Schizosaccharomyces pombe: one gene and its partners. The protein of the gene in region 2 interacts with the protein of the main gene of each other region in a pairwise test. Each region holds a gene or a part of one and is shown on either strand. Other genes may lie near its edges.

Region 1 (7,854 bases), 780 kb from region 2:
CTCTATAAGTTCCAAACGCTGCTTTCCTAGAGCTTGGCGTCGTGCCATAGATTCTGTTTGACCCATATTATTAACTTTGGGAACATTTTCCAAGTACTTTGTCTCTTTAATTTTTAATTCCGGAAGTTCAGGAGGAGCTTGCACAGTTTCTCCAAAGGAAGGTTTTGTTTGTAAATTAGCCCACGGATCAGGCGAATTTTTTCGTTTTTTTCTAGACTCAATTTGGATAAATTGTCTAATATGTTAGTTTATACGAAATGAAATTGGTGATATACACATACCCAGTAGTATCCGCCTCCCATGTTTTATCTTCAAAATTTTCCTCAATTTCATTCCAGTCTCTTTCACGCTTCTCTTTTCTTTTCGCTATTTTTTTCTTTTCTTTTTTATCAGTAAATTCGTCTATTTTGCTCGGCCCAGACTTAAAAGATACTGGAATAGCCTTATTTACGCGCTGACTAAATTCACTAAGGCGTTCACCGGGTAATCTTTGAATTTTCCCATAATCTTTTTTTTTCTTATTTTTAAGGTTGCCTTTCTTTATTTCCTTCTTTTTAGATTCATGGTACTCTTTTTGCTGTAGCAATCGCTTGAATTGCTTTGGGAAGTTGTCATCTACACTTTCATCCTCCTTGGGAGCATGATCGAGTCTATTAACCAAATGTTAGTAAAAACATCTTGCTATAGAAATTTTTTACCCAATCTTTTTCCGTTCAGCCTCAAGAACGGACCTTTTCTTAGTCTTAGTAGGCATATTGCGCTTGGATAGTAAACACAAACGAGAAGCAAGTAATAAAGGAAAATAGCGAGCCTAGCTCGTATCGCAATTTAGATAAATTTGGATTTGTTTTAATAGATACTCATGGGATAACAGTAAAGTTTATTAATGAATACAAATATCTTTTTTTATTTTAGTGGACAAGCTGTAACGCTTTAGAGAGAAAAAATTTCAGAATCAAGTTGGAAGCAAGCTTAGTGAAGATACTTTTCGAATCATACACGAAAAATATATTAAAAAATATATATATCAAACACCAAATATACACTATCTTTATTAAAATCGTAATGCTCTTATATGTAAACACTCAACTATCTTTCTTGTTGAGTATTTTGCGAGCTAATTAATAAAAATTAAAATGACTACAAACAGAGTACTTGAAATTATATAGAAAGCGAAACAGTACAAAATTACAATAACAAAATAAAAAATTCGATAACAATCTGCTTCCATAAGAATCAAATTTTATTCTCGATTAAAAGAAAACTGTTCCCAAAATCCAAAAGTTTAGATGAGCAATTTCTCTATTGCCAATTTAATAGCTTGAATTTGAGGAAGTAAATCACTAGCCTCATTGGTAGTAATGCTGGCTGAAATCACCGGTCTACTTACACCACAAGCACGTCCCAAAGCAGCCTTGCTAGGAACAAAAACATAAGGCACATTCTTGTCCTCACAAAGCAATGGCAGATGCAATAAAATCTCTATGGGCTCGGTATCAGCCGCCATTACTATAAATTCACTAATACCACGGTTCAAGGTTTTGGTAGCCTCATTTGCACCTTTGCGAAGCTGCTTGTAATGAGAGGCCTGTTGTACCAAGTCGAGAATTTGTTGGGTTAAGCCAGAATCGGCTAAAGGAAAGGCCTAACAATGTTAGTATGCAATAAAACGAATATAAATTTCGGAAAAGTTCATTTTCCGTAATAAAATTGCCGACGAAACTAGCATTTGAAACTAGCATGCTTTCAGCTATTTCGTAGCCAAAGAAGAAGTCTTATACCATTATTAACATACCTTTGGGTTAACTGACATTTTTTCGGGTTCCTTGCTGTAAAAAGTAGTATCTGACCTACAATGGTGGTTGCTCGCCCTTGCTAAGAAATTTTCTTTAGTAAACTTCACTTTAGCTGTAGTCCAAAAGTACAAGTAACAACATCAACGTTAGTCGATCCTTCGATCAATGTAACTTGGAAAATTAATCCAAATTTGCTTAAATTTGGAATTCTAAGAAATTTATGCACATTAATAATCTTAATTGTTTCTTGGCATTACACTATGAATATGGAGGACTCAAAACTATAAATCAGATTGGTGAGTTTATTTCTATTGAGCAGGCATTCTTCAATTGGACATTGTTTACCATATTTAACAGAATATAATAACATTAAAAAAAGTTGGAACTGCATATCTGATTGAGAGCTGTATTGTTATATAGTCTATGGACTTAGCAAAAAAGAAGTTGCTAATAATCTACTATTTAACTTTTAAATTTTAGCAAAGTACATATAATTTGTCCTAAAAAAAAAAAAAAAAAAAAAAAAAAAAAAAAAGCCCTGGTACATACTATTGAAAGTGTGTAAATTGTAATTTAGCTAAAATATTTTCCCTTAGTGGTTTGGAATATAGGTTTTTAATAATATTATAATTTATAAAAACTTTGCAAAACACTTTCTAAATAATATCCAAAAAAGTTTATACTTTCTGTTAAATTCATACTTCGATCTCCAGGCTACAACTTTATCTACTGTAAAAAAAGCTGAATAAATTAACAGCGAGTACATACACATTTGGATATGTGTTTAGGAAATTCATTGTTTTATATTATTAGATAAAATTTTACACTTATTTATTCAGCTCATATAACCTGCATGTTCGTGCAAGCAGTGGAAGTGGTTGATATAGCTCTACACTATTTCAATTCATTCTACATTCCGCTTACCCAACAGCTGTCACATCGAAAATAACGCTTCAGCATATTGCTAAACGCGTATTGCAATTTTCAAGAAATATACTTTTGACGAAAAAACATGTACTAGCGGATTTTTTCTTTAACTCTTGATGAAACTAAAACTGTTTCCATTTCAAGCTGCTGGTCATGGCCAAGTACTAGTCAGTGAGGATGATAAAATTCTAATTAAGCCATGCATTAAAAGTGAAGTTGATTTTTATAAAACATGTAACGACAATATTACGCTCTACAACTGGATTCCTAAGAATTTCGGTGAGTGGATGCCTTCTAGTAGAGACATTGAGGGTATCAACCCGATCGCAGAAAGTGTTGCTTTTTCCTTAACTGGAAAAGCTATAATCTTAGAAAATATTCTGTATCAGATGGAAACTCCTTGTGTCATGGATATCAAATTAGGAAAACAGTTGTGGGCCGATGACGCTCCTCTTGAAAAACGAAAAAGATTAGATGCCGTTTCCAGAAGTACGACGAGTGGTAGTCTTGGATTTCGTATAACTGGTATATTGTCGTGGGACAGAACAAACAATACGTACATTAAACGATCAACAGCTTGGGGTAAAACCCTTACGGATTCAGATGTCGTAGAAGGCTTAAATGATTTTTTTGTCTCTTGCTCTCTTTCTCAAAAAGCAAGGTTGGTTGAAAGCTTCCTTAATTTATTGAAATTATTTGAAGTTGATCTTTCTGAGTCTTATATTGAATTAAAATCTTCTAGTATTCTTTTCGTTTATGATTACTCTTCCCTAAATCCAACGTATCATTGTGAAAGCAATGTAGTTCTCAAGCTGATAGATTTGGCACATTCTAGATGGACGAAAAACACTATAGACCATAACACATTAATTGGGGTTAAAAACTTAATTCACTGTTTTGCGATGCTCCTGAAGAATGAATAATTGAATACTGACATGATAAATTCCTTTAAAAGAAAAGTAATTTTTTTAATCATTGCTGGTTAAAGCTAATTAATTTATCTGTATAGTATTCCACTATAACTATTATAAAAATGATACCTTATTTATTTTTTTGAGTGATCGTGAAGTATTGATTTGTTATAGAAAAGAAAATAATTTTTATTCTTCGTTTATTTTATGAAAATTTTCAGAAAGGTTATCTACCCTTTTTATTTTTGGTAAGATAAAGATCTTATTCCACAAACGAACTACTTAAAAAACAGTCAGTTTTCTCTTAATAAAATAGTTCGTTTACTTATAGAAGTTTGCTTTATACCTTGCGTTGTTTTCATAGAGGTTACTAAAGCATGCTTTACTTATATGCTTTCAAATACGCTTTAACTTTTTTTTTAATAATAATTTTAACTAACATAATGAAAATAAAATAAATATGCTTATATTTCTCCATTTACCTAAAGTTTCAAACAGTAGTAATATGACTTGAGCACTTGCCATCAGCAAACAACTACTCCACGAAGGATTTCATCATGGATACCGAAATGTCTGTCAATATGTCTGATTTTTTACACGATCAAGCTACAAGAGCTCCAGAAAGCCTTCAGCAATCCTATATTTTAATGGAAGACCTTTATGAAAGGAAGTATGTTGTAAAAGTGCTTTAGAAGAAAATGAACTTTACATTAACTGACGCCAGATTATGGAAACAACTTACAGATGCTTTGATTGTTTTCTTTGATACCCCAGAAACAGTACCTTTAAGGCTTCCTTTGTATACGAACTTTGTCAACTCATTTCGACCTAATATCAATCAACTCAAAGCAGTGTACATGGGCTTAAAGGCTTTTGAGTCATGTTCTAACGACGAAGCCCTTCGTAATTTAAACCAAATTGTTAACGAATTGGATGAAGAGAAATATAAAGATGCCTATGTATATTCCATTGTTGCCATTGCTCGCATCAAGCTGATTAGTGGTAAGTTGGATGAAGCCCGGGAACTACTTGTCAAAGCCTCAAAAATTATCGACCACATTGATTACGTAGAAAGTCTTATTCATTCTTCATATTATAGCGTCAGTGCAGACTACTACAAGGCAAAGGCTGATTATGCTCAATACTATCGTCATTGTCTATTGTATTTATCTTGCATCGACCTCGATAAATGCTCTCATACCGAGTTAGTTGAAAGAGCGGTGGATCTAAGTGTTGCCGCAATACTCGGTGATATTTATAATTTTGGTGAATTATTATTACATCCTGTTTTCGAGTTGCTAGTAGGTACACAGCACGAGTGGTTACATGATTTAGTCATCGCCATGAATGTCGGAGATTTACCTTTGTTTGAACGCTTAATGGGGCAAATTAACAAAATGCCTTTACTGCAAAGTTCGGTTGCTTTACTAGGTCAAAAAATTCGTTTAATGGCCCTCATTGAGTTGGTCTTCCAATTACCTCCAAATCAGCGTACTTTAACATTTGATACAATTGCTCGTGCAACCCGTATTCCTTCTAATGAAGTTGAGTTACTCATTATGCGTGCTTTAAGCGTAGGGCTTATAACAGGTGTTATAGATGAGGTTACCCAAATTGTCACCATTTCTTCCGTCCAATCTAGAATTTTAAATCACTCGCAAATTGCAAGCATGGAATCTCGTCTACGAGAATGGAACCAAAATATTAAGAACCTTTCTAATGTGGTTGAAATTTCTGGAAAAGGTGTTTTCGTTTGATGACTACAAAACTCATTGTTTAAAAGACAAGACATGCTATAAAGTAAATAGAACTATTTTTCTATACATTATTATACATTTCAGTGTAGTAATTTTATTAGTTGTAAACATGGTACGTAATTTCATTCTCCTTAAGCAATTGTATTCAATTAGTATTCAGAATTCAAGCTACTTAATAAAAAACCCAATTGAATCCATGAATGGCTATTAATGTTAGATCAATAATATAAAAAAAAACTTACCCCTAATGTGCCATAAAACCCGACTAATTGAAAACCTTTTGGGACTAAATAGCTTTTCAACCCACCCCCGTTAGCATTTCCATAAAATGGACTTGTTTTACCATTTTCTAAAACAATGGATATCCCATCCACCCAGGCTCCACAACGTATTTGAAAGCCTACAATTTGGGAGCCTTGTATTTCAAAATCGTGAGGGCTTCCACCACGGTTACCAAGAAGAACTGATTCATCACCAAAAAATACTTCAATTCCATCCAAAGCTAAACCACAATGAACACGAATTTTAGTAGGCTTAAACTTTTCAGGTGCTATTAAAATATTTGATAACTCTTTCCCATTACAACCTCGCAAACCATATCTTTCAGATCGATAAACAGTTCCAAAAGACGATTCAACCTTCGCATTTTTTATAATTTCAGGTACATTGTTTAAATCAATACATTTGAAATTTCTGGATAGAACGCGAACACGATAATCTTGATTGGAGCTTGCATTTGAAAGAGAGCGTATTTCAGCATCAGTTAAAGAAGCTTCTCCGACTGGAGGATTAAACTCCTTCCAGCCCTTGGTCTGTCCATTGTATTCAATTTCAATTAAAAAGATTCCAGTCGAATTGACAAATGTGATAGTTTCTCCTTTAACAAAGTAGTTCGTTTCAATGTCCGACGGATATGTAGGGTCTGAAGGTAGTTTAAAGCACGGATGATAAAAAAACCTTAACATGTCAAGATGGTGCCAAGAACATTCATCTTTTGCAAGCACTGGGGCAAGACCTTTACTTCCAGTTCTAACACATTCAAATTCTCTTGTCGTAAAACTGCGGTTAAATATTGGATATGATCGCAACATGATTCCATCTGGTTGATGAGGACAACCAAGTGTATGTCCTAACTCATGAAGCATAGCGCCTATCCCTATATTCGCACATTCCCAAATCGTAGAACTTTCATTTGCATCATTTGCCAAGTAAGAAGGGATTCTACGGGCATCACTAAAGACAGGTACAACATACTCAAGTGCACTAGGAAAAGAATGTAACGAATGGGAACCAAACACTCCAAGTTTGTGCATGTCTGTACCTCCACCTAAAGCTACATGTCCACGAATTTTTTGAGTAGAAGGATCATATCGTGTATCCAAGAACATGCACATATAATGCCAAGGCTCAGGAAGATGTAGTTTGTCGACAGCATCTCCAGCTATATGAAACAATTGATCTGGAGGAACCGATCGAATCTCTTCTGCTGTTTTATCACTTCGCAGAATATTTATAGTGGCTGTTAACCTTTCGGTGCCCCAAGGGGACAAACAAGACATTGTGTCGGGTTGCACACTTTCCTCAATTCTAAAAGAACGTCTTCCATAACCATTTCTATACATACATTCAGCGGTGAAAGCTTGCCATAAGTAAGCAGCGCATCTGAGTTTACGGATGCCCTCATCAATATCATTTTTGGCACCGTGAGGTGCATCAAATGAAAGGTCTGAGTCTTTTCCAACTATAAAGGCGATACAATAGAAAGGATTATCAACAAGTAATTGGTAATAAACCTGCAATTCTAGTTTACCTCCATCGTCCGTAGTAAATAGTATGGTATTGTCTCCGGGAACGACGTGAATGATAGCTTTAAAATATAAGTCTGTAACTACCCATGTTTGTTCTGGAAATGAATTTTCGTGATGCTTCACATTGATTGTTTGTGGGCAATAACTTGCACGAGGTCCAACTCTACCATGTATAATAACAAATCTCTAAAATTAGGCATCTATATTAGTACAATTATGAAAATAACATTGAAAACACTCGTACATTGTATACAGTTTCGTTTTGGGATATATTGTCTAAAATGATCTGACTCATGCTGGCTCTTGACAAACGCGTGTGCAGTACATTCTATATTTATTTCGAATTGACTTAGACTAATGTCACAAAACATATAAATTATTTACATATTTATTCAAATTTATAAATTTAATATACACGACATCATATAAAATACAAAACATAATATAATCGCGTTTTTTGAACAATAAAATTACAGCATCGGTTGATTGAGTCTTTGGCAGTGGGTATACTGAGAGACCAATAATTATTTAAAATTCTAGCTGAATAATAAACTTTTGTATGCTTTACGGAGACAGTAGACGTCCAAATTAACTATTGAAGACTTATATAAGTACAATGAATTAATGGATTATTTATTTTAATGATTGTAAATAA
Region 2 (8,026 bases):
TTGTAAACAGTGATGTGTCTTGCAAGTCTCAACATATACTGGATTGCGGTAAAGGTCCAGGTATTGGTGCTCTAGCTAGTTATTCAGTCTTTCCCACACCTAATTCAGTTTCAATTGTTGAGGAGAACCCATTTTTGAAAAAAATCATATATGATATTCACCATAACATTTACCCGTCAACTTCGCCGAATCCAACTAGCCCTGTTACGCTTAACCGTCTACCATTGGGTAAAAAGGATTCATACACTCTAGTTATTGCATCTAACAAGCTTCTTGAAATGAAATCGGAGAAAGAACTCTTTGATTATCTTCGTTCGCTTTGGAGTCTCGTGTCAAATGATGGTGGTCTTTTGGTGCTCTGCGAGCGAGGCACAAAGCGTGGCTTTAGTTTGATTCAAAGAGCTAGAACATTTCTATTGCAAAAAAGTAAAAATACTTCTGATAAACAATTCAATGCCCATATTGTAGCACCCTGTCCCCACGATGGTCGCTGCCCCATTGATATAGAAAATGGGGTAAGAGCAAATATTTGTTCTTTCAAACAACATTTTTTCCTATCCCCATTTTCCCGTCTATATGTCCCTCGTTCTCATCGTCGATCCTCGGATCGCTCTCATTACAGTTATGTTGTTATTCAAAAGGGTATAACTAGACCGCTTAATAATACCACACAAAGGTTCAAGAATGATGAGGATTTACTAGAAAATGTGAATGTTACATCTCCAACTCTTAAAAACTGGCCACGTATAATTCGACCTCCACTGAAGCGAGATGGACATGTCATAATTGATGTCTGTGATAGCGATGCTCGGCTTAGAAGGAATATTGTTCCTAAATCACAAGGTAAACTAGCTTATCGATTAGCTAGGAAAAGTGCTTGGGGCGACTTGTTTCCGTTAGAGGGCAAAGTTCAAAGTACTTCTCCAAGTAGTAAAATTACTAAACATTTAAAAGATGCTTCTTCTACCTATTCAATCAATCCCCCCTCATATAATAAACCCAAAGTTGAAAGAAATACAACTGCAGATCCTATTTTTGTCGGAAAACGATTCTATTCGACTAATCGTCATAAAGCTTTTTCTCGATTTGCAGACTTTAATTCACATCGTTTCCCTTGTATTTTTACTTCATTTAGCTGTTACAATTGCATCTCTGGTACCAGGAAATATTCACGACAATATTCGAGAGATAAATTCCACTATAATCAAAGGACCACTATCTATTATCTGGTTGCAATTTCCATTTTTGCGTTGGGCTTGACATATGCGGCTGTACCTTTATATCGTCTTTTCTGTTCGAAAACAGGTTATGGTGGCACTCTTAATACCGACCAAAGTCGTATGAATGCAGAAAGAATGGTTCCTCGTAAAGACAATAAAAGAATCAGAGTTACTTTCAATGGCGACGTTGCAGGAAACCTTAGCTGGAAGCTTTGGCCCCAGCAGCGTGAAATATATGTTCTTCCAGGCGAGACTGCTCTAGGGTTTTATACTGCTGAAAATACGTCCGACCATGACATAGTAGGAGTTGCAACTTATAATATAGTACCAGGTCAAGCCGCTGTTTACTTCTCAAAGGTTGCATGCTTTTGCTTTGAAGAGCAAAAGCTAGATGCTCATGAAAAAGTAGACTTGCCTGTGTTTTTCTTTATAGATCCAGAATTTGCTGATGATCCAAATATGAAGGATATTGACGATATTCTTCTAAGCTATACTTTTTTTGAGGCCAGATATGATACCAATGGCAATCTTTTAACTAAACTCAACTGAAATAAAAATTAAGGGACTACATATTGAGTGAACTACAATAATTTATTTAAAATAATTCATCAAGTTAACCTTCTAGTTACGAGACAAATAACAACGAAAATCACTACAAACTTACTAGAATAACTTTCTCCGAGGTTGCAATTCGACATTAAAACTATTGTATTCTCGTAAAAAAAGTTGAAGGCCTTTGAACCAATAGTATATTATTTAAATGACAAAGTCATGAAAGTAACGAAATGAAATAGAGACGGAACAATTTATTTGGCTACCGCCTGTTGAATAGAATTCATCATTTCTTCTTTTATAATAAGCTGTCTTACCTTTTCCAATTTTCCAAGAAGTTCAGTAATATTGGAACCCCACTCATTCAATTGCTCTTGCACATTTTGAGATTTCTTGAATGAAATGACTTGAGCTGGGCGATCAATCTTGGCATAGAAATGATGCTTTGCAATAAGATCGCAAAGAAATTGTTCTGTTTCGGAAGGACTCATATCCAACAACACTCCTAGACGACTGCAATGAATGCGGGAATAATAGTTTGCGACTACACGAATATTGTGTTCGATGACTCGCTTACGAAGTTCAGACCAACGTTTCTCACCTTTTTCATCATTTTCAGCAAAAACAGGATTACTCCTTAAAGCACTTCCATAGATTTCGGCAATTTTGGGCCATCTCATTAGTTCATTGACAATAAAGCACTTAACCAATTGTTGGAGTAAAGGAAGAGAATTTAGTTTATGGTCAGCATTAATTCGGTGAAGAAGATCTGCCTGCTCGTTATCATAAGGAGTAAGCAAGGCAAAGCAAACGACATTTTCTAATATTTCTTTCCATTTCTCGGGGTCCTCTTGAACCACGGCGGTGTCATAAACTGCTCGATAATATTTACAAACATCAAGATATGCATCGTCGTGCAAACCAATTCGGATTTTTTGCTCATAATACTTAAGTTTTAAAGACTGGACGTCTTCCTTTTCAAAAAACTTAACATTTATTTTCTTCGTGTAAGTAGATGCCATGTAGTAATCAGACCTCAGTAAGAATAATCTAACTTGATCCAAAATGAATGCAACTTTTTCCTTCAAATCAAAAGATCCGTAAGTCTCTACTGGTTCATTACACAAGATCTCCTGGGCAGATTTGATGTCACCTTGCTCTTCTTTAATCTGGGAAAGCAGTTGTGTAAGACGTGCCCTTTCTACTTCCACATATATCTTTCCATCAGTAATAGTACGCAATGTTTCAATCAAATTAATTTTTGTTTTTAAATCGTCAATTCCAGGAAGATAGGTCATTACATGTTGGACTAAACTTGTCATCGATTGTTTCAGTTGGCCATGCTTTTTAAAGAGACTAACCAACTGTTCGTTTAAGCCTTGGAAATCACCAGCTCGAAAGAGCAAATCAGCAATGTATATTAATACTTTCGTATTCGTGCTGGTGTCAGAAGCCTGACGAACTTGCTTCTCAAAAATCAAAAGCTTCTCGAGGTTCGCATCCTACAATTACAAGTTAGAGATTAGTCAAAATTTTGATTTTTACGTACGATGTCTATGGTATTAAGGTTATTTAAACTTTTTTGTAACTCTGCAAACTTCTCTGAGTAATCAACTTCCGGTTTCTGTTCCATTTCGATATGTGGGTTGTTGGAGAGTGTACAATTGAGACTAATATTGCGAGTTGATTTCTTATGATTACAGAGTTGTAACGCACGCTCGCAAAATACTTTAGTTGTCAGCAATAGTACACTACGCTATGATACACTACGTTGCGTATCACTATATGTCATATGTTGGAATACTAGCTAAGATCCGTTTATTGATAATCACGGGTAACTATCCGTCTATATACATAGATACCCGTTGATAACAACTATTTAGAAATATTATAAATAGCGTTACAACTGAACCTCGTTCCTCAGTTCAGTTATGAGCTATATTAGTGATAGGTAACATTATAACTCAGTTAATACAATACCTATACTCAGTTGCTACTTATACAACCTGTGTATTGTAATATAATAGACCACAAGGAAAACTCACCGCAGTTCTACGTATCCTTAAATCAGATACCAAACTGCGTAGCTTACATTAGTGAAATATAGTGCTTATTTCTTCTATAGAAGTTCGTAAAATGCTGAAGGGCCGCAACATATTAGACGTGCTTTCAACGACATTCTAAAGAATACACCCTAAGCTTGAACCTCAAGTTATTTCAACGATTTAAAGGGAAGTAAGAGATAAGGTTCTTTGTGAAATCGTTCAAAAGTATTTCAAGGATTTGGGTTAGTGTAGCGTTCAGTTTTATCACTTGAAATTCATTTGCATCGACAGTTCACAATAACAAGATGAGCAAAATGGCCGGTCTAGATAACGCTGTTATGGTCCGTGACGATCAAGGAAATCCTTTCATTTTAGTACGTGACCAGGAAAAGAAGAGAAGATTGCATGGAATTGATGCTGTAAAAAGTCACATATTAGCTACCAAAACAGTTGCTAATATTGTGCGTACTTCTTTGGGTCCCCGTGGACTGGATAAAATTTTAATCTCTCCAGATGGAGAGATTACGGTTACCAATGACGGTGCTACAATCCTCGACCAAATGGAGGTTGAACATCAAATTGCAAAGCTGTTAGTTCAGTTGTCTAAATCTCAAGATGATGAAATTGGGGATGGAACTACTGGTGTTGTTGTACTAGCAGGTGCATTACTGGAGCAGGCCGAGGCACTTATAGACAAAGGTATACATCCTATAAGGATTGCAGATGGTTACGAAAAGGCATGCCAGGTGGCTGTTAAACATTTAGATGCTATTTCAGATGTTGTCGACTTTAGTCCCGAAAACACTACTAATTTATTTCGTTCTGCTAAGACTAGTTTGGGTAGTAAAGTGGTTTCCAAAGCTCATGATCACTTTGCAAACATTGCTGTGGACGCGGTCCTTTCTGTTGCTGATTTGCAGAGAAAAGATGTTGATTTTGAACTCATTAAAGTAGATGGCAAGGTTGGTGGTTCAGTGGATGATACAAAGCTTGTAAAGGGTGTTGTGGTGGACAAAGACATGTCGCATCCACAAATGCCTCATCGTATTGAAAATGCAAAGATTGCTATTTTAACCTGCCCTTTTGAACCACCAAAGCCAAAAACTAAGCATAAGTTGGACATAACATCAGTGAGTGAATTTGAAGCCCTTCAAGCTTATGAGAAGGAAAAATTTCAGGAAATGATTAAGCATGTAAAGGACGCAGGAGCTAACCTTGTTATATGTCAATGGGGTTTTGATGATGAAGCAAACCATCTACTTCTTCAAAATAATTTACCGGCTGTACGTTGGGTGGGAGGTCCCGAAATCGAATTGATTGCTATTGCTACAAATGGACGAATTGTGCCCCGATTTGAGGATCTTTCGTCTGATAAGCTTGGTTCAGCCGGTATAGTGAGAGAGGTGTCGTTTGGTACGACTCGTGATAAGATTTTAGTTATAGAAAAGTGTGCCAACTCTCGAGCCGTAACCGTTTTTGTACGAGGAAGCAATAAGATGATTGTCGATGAGGCGAAACGTGCTTTGCATGATGCACTCTGTGTCGTTCGTAATCTGATACGTGACAACAGAGTAGTGTATGGTGGTGGTGCTGCTGAGATTTCTTGCTCTTTGGCTGTCACCAAAGAAGCTGAAAAGATTCCTGGTATTGATCAATATTCCATGGGTGCATTTGCAGATGCTTTGGACACGATTCCTCTTGCCCTCGCGGAGAACAGTGGCCTTTCGTCCATCGAAGCTCTTACAGCAGTTAAAGCTCGTCATGTAAAAGAAAACAAGGCATATCTTGGTATTGACTGTTTGCAGACCGGAAGTAATGATATGAGAAAGCAGTTTGTTATTGATCCTCTTATTGGAAAGAAACAACAACTGCTTCTTGCTACTCAGCTTTGCAGAATGGTACTCAAAGTTAACGATATTATCGTTGCCGGTTCTAAGGATGATGACTATAACTAAATGGCATTTTCATCCGCACGGCTAAAGGAAATTTAATTTACTTCATTTCATACGGCAAGCATGTGCTTTTTTGAATAAAATGGTGATTCTGTGTACTTATGTCAAAATAAAAAATTTCTTGCATATATATAAATTTTTTCTACTAAGCATCATATTGAGTCCGTATTTCCAGTTTCAATAGTATTTTTACCTACTCAGAGATTGTGAGCTTTTCAAAGCCTTCAGACACTCTAACCTTGTTTATGGCATTATTTTTATACTAAACTCTGTTTATGATTTGTTCCATAAAGCTGTACAAATAGACCAAATACATCAGCGCTCAAGACGGAAATCGTCGGCTACTTTTTCCGCAAAAACGCTTCTGGTAGCACCTGTAAAGCCGAGTTTGGGCAAAATGATATCAGTTTTCTTAATTGAGCCATGCGAGGATATTTTCCTAACATTTCTCGCTAATCTAGACTGAGTCTTTTCGCACAGAAATCCATTAGTATTGGATTAATGTATTCATCAACCTTTGTTCCTTTGCTTTCCTTCATTGTAAATAAGGAGGTTTAGTGTAGTAGCTTGGACCAAATCCGACGCTTTTTAAGAGGGGTGAAGAAGCAAAGCAAACCAACCTCCACACAAAAGAAAAGAACATCAAAAGACTACGATTTGCTGATTTTCAGTAAAATCCTGTAATTAAACGGCAAATACTGCCTTTAAGTTCAGCGTGAAGTTGAAATTAAAGGAGCTTGAGCTTTATCGAAGTCACTGCCTTTTTTGGAAGAAGCTTCATTAAAAGTTTGCAATACGTTGAAATCTCTCTTTTGTATCCCGCCTCTTAGTTATCAATTGATATTATCTTAACTTTCTTTACTATTTCTTTTTTAGTTGATCTATTCTCATTTTTTAAATTCTCGTTTGTCCTCCTTTTGTTTAAAGCAACCGGTTGTTCCTTCTGTACTGAGTTTTAAATCTTTTTCCTGTCCTGTTTGATCGGATAAAAGCTCATTCCATCTTTTTGTTGAGCTTGCTGTAGAATCTCAACTATACCGATTGATTTTACTACTTTTTTAGAGCACATTTGCTTTTCTTCAAAAAAAAGTATCCTTCACTTTTTAAAGCAAATTTATTCATTCATTCAGTTGATCATAACATAATGGCAAAAAGAGTCGTCTCCCCAAACCCAATGCTCTCGTTGGAAACTGAAAATATCGCAAAAATGGGTACCTTAACTGCGGATAGCCTGGGATCTATGTGGAATGGTAATGTGGTTAACAGATGCTCTATATTAACTCTTTTTTTTCTAGTTTTTACCAAGTGTGCTGAGAACCTTGAAAACGGTCGTCGTTTAGAAAATATATCTTGGCGCCTGTGGTATCGTGAAGCTATGATGTCCGATGCTAATGATGCTTGTCAAATTGCTTGCCAGGAATCTTCCGTCCCTGATCTTTCTTCAAGTTGCGATTCCATTAATTCTACCGTTGAATCGGATGCGGGTCATGTTGTAGATTCAAACTCCTTTAACAGGATTGACAATGTTTCCGTTAATGCTCCTATTGTGAATGAAGTTAGCTTGCAAGCGCCAATGAAGGGTGGAAGTCATTCCTCTATTGTTAGGCCACAAGCCAAACGTTCCAGCTCACGTCTTTTGTCTACAGACGCATTTAGTCAGTTCATCTCTTCATTTTCACCGCCGGAAAAACCTAGTATGAAGGATTTGGCCCTGTTCCATGGAAATAAATCACCATCTTCTAAGGAAACTATACCTAAGGTTTCCAATTCAAACTCATCTGATACTTCGACTGATGATCAAGCTTATTTGAACGTTAGCGTTTCAGAAAACGAGCATGCTGATCGGTCGATTAAGACACATTCATCTGCACCTCCTTTGAATCAGCAAAAATCATCTACTAGTGTTAATGATGCAGTTTCCAAAGCCATACAACTAGTCAAGTCTACCAGCGATTTAGGTAGCCTAAGTACAAATACATCTTCAACTGCTCAGAAAAATAAATCAAGAAAACCCACTAAGTCTTTTAGTGATGCAGTCGCTGCTGCATCTCGGGCTAAAGAGCTCGAAAAAGAAAAATTATCAAAAGTCACTGTAACCCCTGATGATTCTACAAGTATTATTCGGGGGTTTGATCCAAGGTTGCCCGTTCTATCCACGAAAAACGTTAGTCATGAAGAAAAAAGTCATTCAGTGCAAGATGACAAATCAAAACAATTGTTAAAACCGAATCCTACGCAGCCTTATTTTTACCTGAGG
Region 3 (8,357 bases), on a different chromosome or scaffold from region 2:
GAGGGTAAGACTTGGGACAAGTTTTCGAAGGAAGAATTTTCTAGCGTGCTTCCTCATGCTTACAATAAAAACTCGGTCTATATGGTTACGTCCAAAAATATTGTATATTTCACAACCAATCGAGGTAAAAACTTTTATAAATTTAAAGCTCCTTCACCTCCTAATCAAAATGGTAAATCATTATTTTCCTTCCACCCATCACGGCCTGCTTGGTTACTTTATGCTGGATCAGAAAATTGCGAAAAAAATCCCTTTGCTGACGACTGTAGAGACGTCGTATTCGTTTCGTTAGATTTTGGTGATACATGGTCGAGATTGCCATCAAACCTTGAGTACTGTTCTTGGGCCAAGGCAGAGAAATTAGTCGTCGATGATACTTTGATTTTTTGCATTAGACAAAACACAAATGATCCATTTAAAAAGGAGCTTATTTCTTCAATTGACTTTTTTGAGTATGAACAGGACGAAATTCTGAACGATGTCGTTGGATTTATGATTGAAGATGAATACGTGATTGTAGCAGTTCAAGACGAAGAGGGAACTTCTCTTTCACTAGATGTTTCGATCAATGGATTAAATTTTGCTTCCTGTAGTTTCCCTGCTTATTTAAATGTACATCCAAAGCAGGCTTATACTATATTGGATTCGCAAACACATTCTTTATTTATTCACGTAACAACTAACACGCACTTAGGATCTGAATGGGGCGACATTTTGAAATCAAACTCAAACGGCACTTATTTCATGACCTCATTGGCGAACGTGAATCGGGATTCTGTTGGATATGTTGATTTTGAACGTTTAGAAGGGATACAAGGTATAGCTTTGGCAAACATAGTCAGTAATACCAAAGAATTGACTGATGGCGGAACGAAGAAACTTCAAACATTGATAACTTTCAACGATGGGTTAGATTGGAGTTATTTGAACCTTGTTGGTGGGGAAAAAATTGTTCCTAAATGCGGCAAAAATTGCTATTTACATTTGCATGGCTATACAGAAAGAAACCAGTTCTCTGATCCCACTTCGACCAATGCTGCTGTTGGTTTAATCATTGGCGTCGGAAGCTTTTCTCCATTTCTCATCCCTTATGAAGAATCGCAAACATTTATTTCTAGAGACGCAGGTGTTACCTGGTATCGGATTTTTGACTCACCCCATCTATGGGCCTTTTTAGACAGCGGTTCCATTATTATTGCAGTTGAAAGCATATCCCCAACGAATGTGATTAAATATTCTGCAGATGAGGGGCGTACTTGGCAAGAATATCAATTCTCTGAAAAGAGCAAGGTAGTCGTTGATGTCAGTACGAAGCCCTCTGGTGTCGGACATCAGGTACTGCTACTGACGACTGATGATGAAAATGCACCTATTTCTTCTGTTCTAATTGATTTTGATGCTTTATATCGCCGTACCTGTGTTTTCGATGAGGAAAATTCTGAAGAAAGCGATTTTGTTAGATGGGTTCCGACGGATATAAGTGGTAAGCCACTCTGTTTACGCGGACGTATTTCATCTTTTTACAGAAAGAGCATACATAAAAAATGCAGGGTTGGATCTAGTTTATTGGTTAAAGAAGAAGTACTTTCTAAATGTGAGTGTACTCGTGCAGACTTTGAGTGTGATTATAATTATCGACGTCTCAAAGATGGCACTTGCGTACTTGTTAGCGGTTTACAGCCACCCGATACTCGTGAAGAACAATGTTCAGTAGATGATGCTTTTGAATGGAGACAGCCAACTGGTTATAAACGCACTCCTTTAACAGAATGTGAAGGTGGGGTACCTTTGGACGCTGGAACGCTTCATCCATGTCCCGGCAAAGAAGATGATTATTACAAAGCTCATCCAAAACCTGGAGGATGGAGTATCTTTTTGACTATTATATTCTCTATCCTGCTGGCTGCAGTGGCTGGTTGCATTCTTTATTATTATTCTCGTCGTTTCCTTAAAGGTGCTATAAGACTTGGTTCTGATTCAGCGACTGAAAATCCTTTGGAATCAGGCATATCGTACACAAGAGGAGCTTTTTCATCAATTCCAATATTCTTTTCCGCTCTTTACCAAAGCGTTCGGTCACTGTTTATAAGATCTACACCGACGAATGGTGAATTTGAAAATGCGGCATTCCTTCAAAATTATGAGATAGATGATGATGACGAAGAGTCAGTTTGATTTAACTTAACCTGGGCATGTTTGTCAATCATTCCACTCATCATGTAAAGCAGCTATGCCACGTTCTTATATTAATGATCAGTTGATATATATGGTAGTTTAATGTATAAATATATATATTTACATACATACACTCATGCACATACGTGTAGTATAATGAACGAAATTTTCTTTCATGCCAACGTTGCAACCTGTCATTTATTACATAAGATATCAAACAAAGCTTTCTAATACGTTTCTAGTTCGAACAGCTAAAGTGACCAGGCAACAAAATTTTGAAGTTTTTTAATTCATTTGCGGGATAAACCTATGAAATCTCATAAAGAATGGCGTAATAAAGGAAATTATCTAAGAGCTCATGTTCATATAATCAGCAGTACTGCTAAACTTTTGGTTACCTTTTACAACCTTTTGAACGGCGTCAAGGAAATCCTTTTCGGTAGCAACTCTTCTTCTAGCACGAATCGCAAACATTCCAGCCTCAGTGCATACAGAACGAAGCTCTGCACCAGTTTGTGAAGGGCATAACCGTGCAATTAATTCCCAACGAATATCCTTGTCAATCGCCATACTTTTAGCGTGGATGCGTAAAATATGAGCACGACCTTCTAAATCAGGTAAACCAAACTCAACTTTACGATCTATACGACCGGGACGCATCAAAGCTTCATCCAAGGTATTTGGTCTGTTGGTCGCAAACAGAACTTTAATGTTACCACGAGGGTCGAATCCATCCAACTGGGTAATTAATTCAAGCATTGTTCTTTGAACTTCATTATCACCACCTGCTCCATCATCAAAGCGAGCCCCGCCAATAGCGTCAATTTCGTCAAAAAAGATAATACATGCTTTTTTAGTTCGTGCCATTTCAAATAATTCTCTAACCATACGAGCACCTTCACCGACATATTTTTGAACCAACTCGGAACCGATTACACGAATAAAAGTTGCATCAGTCCGATTGGCAACAGCACGAGCACATAGTGTCTTACCAGTCCCTGGTGGTCCATAAAGCATAATACCCTTGGGAGGGTCAATACCAAGCTTAACAAATCTTTCGGGAGATAGTAAAGGAAGCTCGACGACTTCGCGAAGTCTTTCTATTTGTTCTTTACAACCACCCACATCTCCGTAAGTAACATCTGGCTTTTCTTCAACTTGCATCATAGTAACTGAAGGATCAATTTTGGGAGGAAGAGGAAGCTGAATAGCATATTTGTTACGATCACAACCGACACGCATCCCTTCTTCAATATCGGTGGGACTAACTCGTTCACCTAAACTGACAACAAATTTTGCAATCTGTTTCAAATTAATGACATATGCATTTTTCTCCGCAGATTGTTCATTCTCAATAATTTTGGTACATCTGGCAACCTGTAAAGGTTGTTCTTCACTCATCCTTTGGCGGTCCGCAGCAACGTCCCAAAATGAAATTGGTGCTAGACCAGTGTCAGACTCCTTAATTCCTAGGGCTAGTTAGCAATAGAACAACGGGTTAAGCAAATTTCATATAAAATGAGAGCATTTTACATGATAAAAAATTGTAAAAATACATCCTGTTCATGAATGTCATATCTTGTAGTTCATATCAGCTATATGAACTACAGGAACGCCATTCATCAGACAACATCGTGCAACTGCTTTCTCGACATAAAACATACCAACAGTATCATTAATTCTTTTTAACACAGCCTCTGTATCTTCTTTAATAGCTGCTAATTCTCTAGCATATGGGCCTGTAGCCTACATTGACATTTAGTATGCTGCTGGTGACAAATTCAATCATTAATGTAACTTACGTAGCTTTTTAAGAGCTCGATGTCTCCTTCGTCTAAAGGTGGTGGATTTTTATCATTTTCTTCTTCCGTATCAACTGGCTTTTGGTATTTCTCCCAATCTTCTTTAGGTGGCATTGTAGTTGGTTCAGTATAGGTACAGGTATATTCGACACATTATACTAACCTAGAGGCCACCCAAAGTCGCAATGTTACCTGATTTATAATTCTGCAAATATTGCTAAGAAATTTACTTGGTAAAAACCGATTTAAATTATAGCATTAGTAAGTGTGAATACTATTTCCCTCTATTTCCATTGAAAAATTTCCTAATCTTTTTTAGTATGAACTGAATAGGTGCCTTGTTTTTGTGGAAAATTGGAAAAGTGGTTAGGCAAATCGTACATTGATATTTACAAAACCAAATAAATTTATTAAAATATACAGATCGCTTGAGAGTAAATTTAAATCTATCAAATTGTTATTTTGTATTAGGCGCAATTATAAATTCTCGGATTATGACCGGGTTATAAATTGATTATTGCAACTGCAATACTCCCAATTAATATGATACTATGGGAGCAATTAAAAAAAAAAAAAAAATACATATATATATATATATATTTTTTTTTCTACATAAAGCAAAAAAGGGTGCAGAAAGTCACTCGAAACAAAAAAAGTTATTTCCTGAATTATTTTTTTTTGTATTTTCTTTCCTAATGCATTAGCCTTTGTAGTATATATGTTCAATTCTCTTTTATATAAAATATAATAAAAAAGGTGGAACAGGATTATTAAGCATGTAATGCTTTTCCTTCCTAAATACCCGCAACTCTTAAAGTGTTCAAGTCATTTCAACATTTCCTGGTCCCATAATAAAATTTCGTAATTTATTTCTGTATTGATACAACCCTACTACTAAATCAGTAAACCCGGTCCTTTCCTTTGAGCGTCCTAGGGACAAATCGGTAAGCAAAAACCTCTAAATAGTTTTCAAACTTTAGTAACTCACATAATACCCTCAAAGTAAGTGTACTAAGACTATTGGGATTACCGGTCATCATTTACTTATCTAATGTACGCTCTATAAACCGAAAAATTATTGGAATATAAAAATAGAATCGAAAGTTGAAAACTAAATTTACTACCTTAACGTAGGTCGATATCATCTACAAAACGTTAGGGAATCATCTTAATCCATTTTTTACATAAAAAAAGGAATGTTATTTTAGGAATAGATACCAACATTAAGGTAGTATTACGAATGCCTCCTAAAATTGAATCATATAATTCCATTCGTTCGACCTTACCAAGCGTTAAATGCATTTAAACCAAAACCTTAAAGACTTTAGGATCGGCACAATCACGAGCGCAATGGTAAAGATGAAAAAACTCTTCAATACAGTCTTCAGACTTGTCGCCCTGCTCTACCTTCTTTGTAACACGGGCAGTACATTCTTCAAAATGGTGTTTCACTTCCTTGCAATCTGGTGCATCCATGCATTCTAAAAAATGTTAGCAAGAAACAGTACACCCATTCAAATAAGCGAACCTTGAGTCATTTTTTCCAAAGGATCAGTAATTTCTTCTTCTTCTTCTTCTTCTTCTTCCTCTTCCCCTCCTTCTTGGGGTTCCTCAGCTTCTTCCTTTGGAGGTTCCTCAGGTTCCTTGGCCTCCTTTCCTTCCTTTTCTTCAGGTTGAGGGGGTTCAGTCTTTACTTCTTCAGGGGGTTGAATGGTTTCTGAACAATCCCATGATTAATACGAATTTTATCAAAATCAACGCTTCAATACTTACCCTTTTTCTCCTCTTTTTCATCGGCCCCTTTACCCTGTGCTCCTTTGGCATCATCTGCCGAGACAATAGGTTCTACCACATTATTAGCATCACTTCAATAACGCACTATAGAACGTCTACAAAAACGGTTCATAACAGATACTGTTATACCATACGAACATTGGCTTTCCAAAAAAAAACAGTAGCGTAATTACTTACCTTGAGTCTTGAGACTTAGGTTGGCATCTCTTGCCCCGGTAGAGTCGGTTGTCTTGGGAGATGGTTCATCGGGACTCTGGGTCTCAAAGTTCTTTTTTGAAGGAGTATTCTCTTCAAATTGCTTTCGATCTTCCTTAATCAATTCATCCGCTTCGGCAGAAATCGGGGTGAAAGCTGAAGTAAACAAATTTTTCCAAAACGACATTACGAATTCAAAATCTTTAATAAAGAGAAAGTCAGATAAATATTTTAATATTTAAAAAAGCCTCCTTACCGTACAATAACGCTGCTGCAAATGAGAGATGGGTTGTGAGTTGGTAATATGTAGTAGGTGGGTGACGAATAAACCGTTCGCTATATTGGTCCGCATTTGATGTTGATAATTCAACGCGATTAAACGCGTTTAACGCAAAGCTAAGGAAAATGTAAACACTTAGTAAATTTCACAATTTTAGATAAAATTTGTATTTAGAGTAATTTGAATCAACGTTGCAGGTTCAGAAGACTGAACAGTAAATCAAAATCGTTTTTGCTTGCTTCATTATAATTAGGATAACAAGCTAGTGTTGTATAAATGAAAATCAGGATACTTTGAAAGATTTATAATAATAACTCAAGATTTTGATTCAGCATACTTTCATGTGAATTTGAAGCCTTTGGATGTAACATTGACGATTGATGATAAATTTTTTTCGCTACAGGCACAATATTGACCGCTAAGAAAAAGTGAAAGCACATTTTAGGAGTTGTAGAAGAGCTTCAAAGGCATAATATTTTTGTTAGACAAGGAGTTAAAATGCTGTGTATAATCAATTGCTTCTTTCACAATCTATCGCACGAAAAAAAAAACGATATCACAAGTCGACTTTTGAACGATTTGGTTCATAAGCATTTCGTTTACGACTGAATTTTAATTTCTCAAAACCATTGTGCTTTCTATGCGCCTTTTTTATGAACAGATAAAGTATAATAGCTTTGCATAACAATCGAAAAATTCTTTAGCTAGTCAAAATGTTTAAGTCTTCAATAAATCACTTTAATATAAACTACTAACGAGAAGTTAGCTCGTTAACTACCTACTACGAAACGTGGAGAAATGATTGAATGTATTTAGGACATAATTTCTTCAAAGTTGGTTTTTACTGACGATGAAGCACAACTTTAAGTTAAACATTGAGTATTTTATTATAGGCCATCCATCGATCTTTTGACCTCTTTTTTAATTTTTGTATTGCAACTACTAATAACTATTATCCTATTTTTTATAACGATACGTTTTTAACTACGATAAATATAATGCAAAGAAGTAATAGAATATGTAGCAGTTCACTCAGATTCTCCCAAGCTTAACTCCAGGTTCGGTGGTCAGAAGGACTTGGTTTTAAAGTTGTACCCTTTACCAAAATTTCGGATTTTCATCTGAATTATGGCTTCCAAATCTGAAAAAGCTGTAAAGAAAGCCCAAAAATTGAGCAAAGAGCCATCTGTTGAATTAACTGACACGAAGTCTTCTGATAATGTTACTCCAAAACAGAAATCTCCAAATTCTACAGAAGAAGATGTAAGTTTGAATCTCAAGACGTTGAAAGCCAAAAAATTTAAGCTTGCTTTTGTTTTGATAACGGTACTTTCATTTATAACTCGCTTTTGGAACTTGAATCTTCCTGGTGAAGTTGTCTTCGACGAAGTACATTTTGGTAAATTTGCAAGCTACTATTTGCAAGGGAAATATTTTTTTGATCTCCATCCACCCTTCGCAAAGTTGCTTTTGGCTCTCGTAGCTAAGCTTGCGGGTTATGATGGCCATTATTTGTTTGATAATATAGGCGATAACTATAAAGATAACGGCGTCCCTTATGTTACGATTCGAGCTTGGCCTGCACTCCTTAGTTCCCTGGTTCCACCCGTAGTTTTTCTAATCATGAAAGAGTCAGGATACGATTTGTTAGCGTGTATCGTTTCATCATCCTTGGTCCTCTTCGATAATGCTCACGTTACTGAAGGAAGATTAATTTTACTTGATGCAACTTTACTTTTCTCTATGGTATGTGCCATATACTGTTACGTTCGTTTTTTTAAGCTACGCCATACCCCCTTTTCTCGACCATGGTGGGCCTGGCTTTTTTTTACTGGATTCTTCTTATCTTGTACAATTAGTACTAAGTATGTTGGTTTTTTTACATTTTTATCCATAGGACTGAGTGTCTGCTTAGAACTATGGTATCTTTGGGATATTAAAACCGGTCTTACTGTTGAGCGTTTTTTCCAGCACTTTTTGGCTCGTTTCTTTTGTCTTATCTTTTTCCCTTTTCTATTCTTTTTATTTTGGTTTTACATGCACTTTAACATTCTCACGATCAGCGGGCCTGGTGACTCCTTTATGTCTCTTGAATTTCAAGAAACACTGAG

The links. Proteins that work in one complex are often made in the same cells at the same time.
Region 1: the proteins of rpn501 (region 2) and rpn9 interact in a two-hybrid assay, tested with the Schizosaccharomyces pombe proteins (one study listed by BioGRID).
Region 3: the proteins of rpn501 (region 2) and rpt1 interact in a two-hybrid assay, tested with the Schizosaccharomyces pombe proteins (one study listed by BioGRID).

Annotation. Positions count from the first base shown.
Region 1 is NC_003424.3:2,039,651-2,047,504, forward strand, and holds rpn9 (19S proteasome regulatory subunit Rpn9), read left to right. Parts: upstream 1-4,157; 5' UTR 4,158-4,191; coding exon 4,192-4,304; exon of another isoform or gene 4,305-4,358; coding exon 4,359-5,391; 3' UTR 5,392-5,509; downstream 5,510-7,854. Other genes in the region: SPOM_SPAC607.02C (uncharacterized protein), read right to left, coding at 1-235, 282-650, 699-754; U3 snoRNP-associated protein Snu13, read right to left, coding at 1,286-1,645, 1,796-1,813; arg82 (inositol polyphosphate kinase), read left to right, coding at 2,840-3,646; SPOM_SPAC607.06C (metallopeptidase), read right to left, coding at 5,560-5,595, 5,634-7,385, 7,444-7,494. UniProt on the Schizosaccharomyces pombe protein: Acts as a regulatory subunit of the 26S proteasome which is involved in the ATP-dependent degradation of ubiquitinated proteins.
Region 2 is NC_003424.3:1,261,648-1,269,673, reverse strand, and holds rpn501 (19S proteasome regulatory subunit Rpn501), read right to left. Parts: upstream 3,406-8,026; coding exon 3,322-3,405; intron 3,275-3,321; coding exon 2,027-3,274; 3' UTR 1,894-2,026; downstream 1-1,893. Other genes in the region: rsm22-cox11 tandem protein cox1101, read left to right, coding at 1-1,769; chaperonin-containing T-complex epsilon subunit Cct5, read left to right, coding at 4,132-5,772; protein Mks1, read left to right, coding at 6,914-7,019, 7,065-8,026. UniProt on the Schizosaccharomyces pombe protein: Acts as a regulatory subunit of the 26S proteasome which is involved in the ATP-dependent degradation of ubiquitinated proteins. Required for proper proteasome assembly.
Region 3 is NC_003423.3:4,339,278-4,347,634, forward strand, and holds rpt1 (proteasome regulatory subunit Rpt1), read right to left. Parts: upstream 4,104-8,357; 5' UTR 4,092-4,103; coding exon 3,978-4,091; intron 3,922-3,977; coding exon 3,840-3,921; intron 3,645-3,839; coding exon 2,524-3,644; 3' UTR 2,346-2,523; downstream 1-2,345. Other genes in the region: vacuolar protein sorting receptor vps10, read left to right, coding at 1-2,175; qcr6 (ubiquinol-cytochrome-c reductase complex subunit 8), read right to left, coding at 5,280-5,458, 5,506-5,694, 5,751-5,822, 5,949-6,153; ER membrane O-mannosyltransferase Ogm4, read left to right, coding at 7,375-8,357. UniProt on the Schizosaccharomyces pombe protein: The 26S proteasome is involved in the ATP-dependent degradation of ubiquitinated proteins. The regulatory (or ATPase) complex confers ATP dependency and substrate specificity to the 26S complex.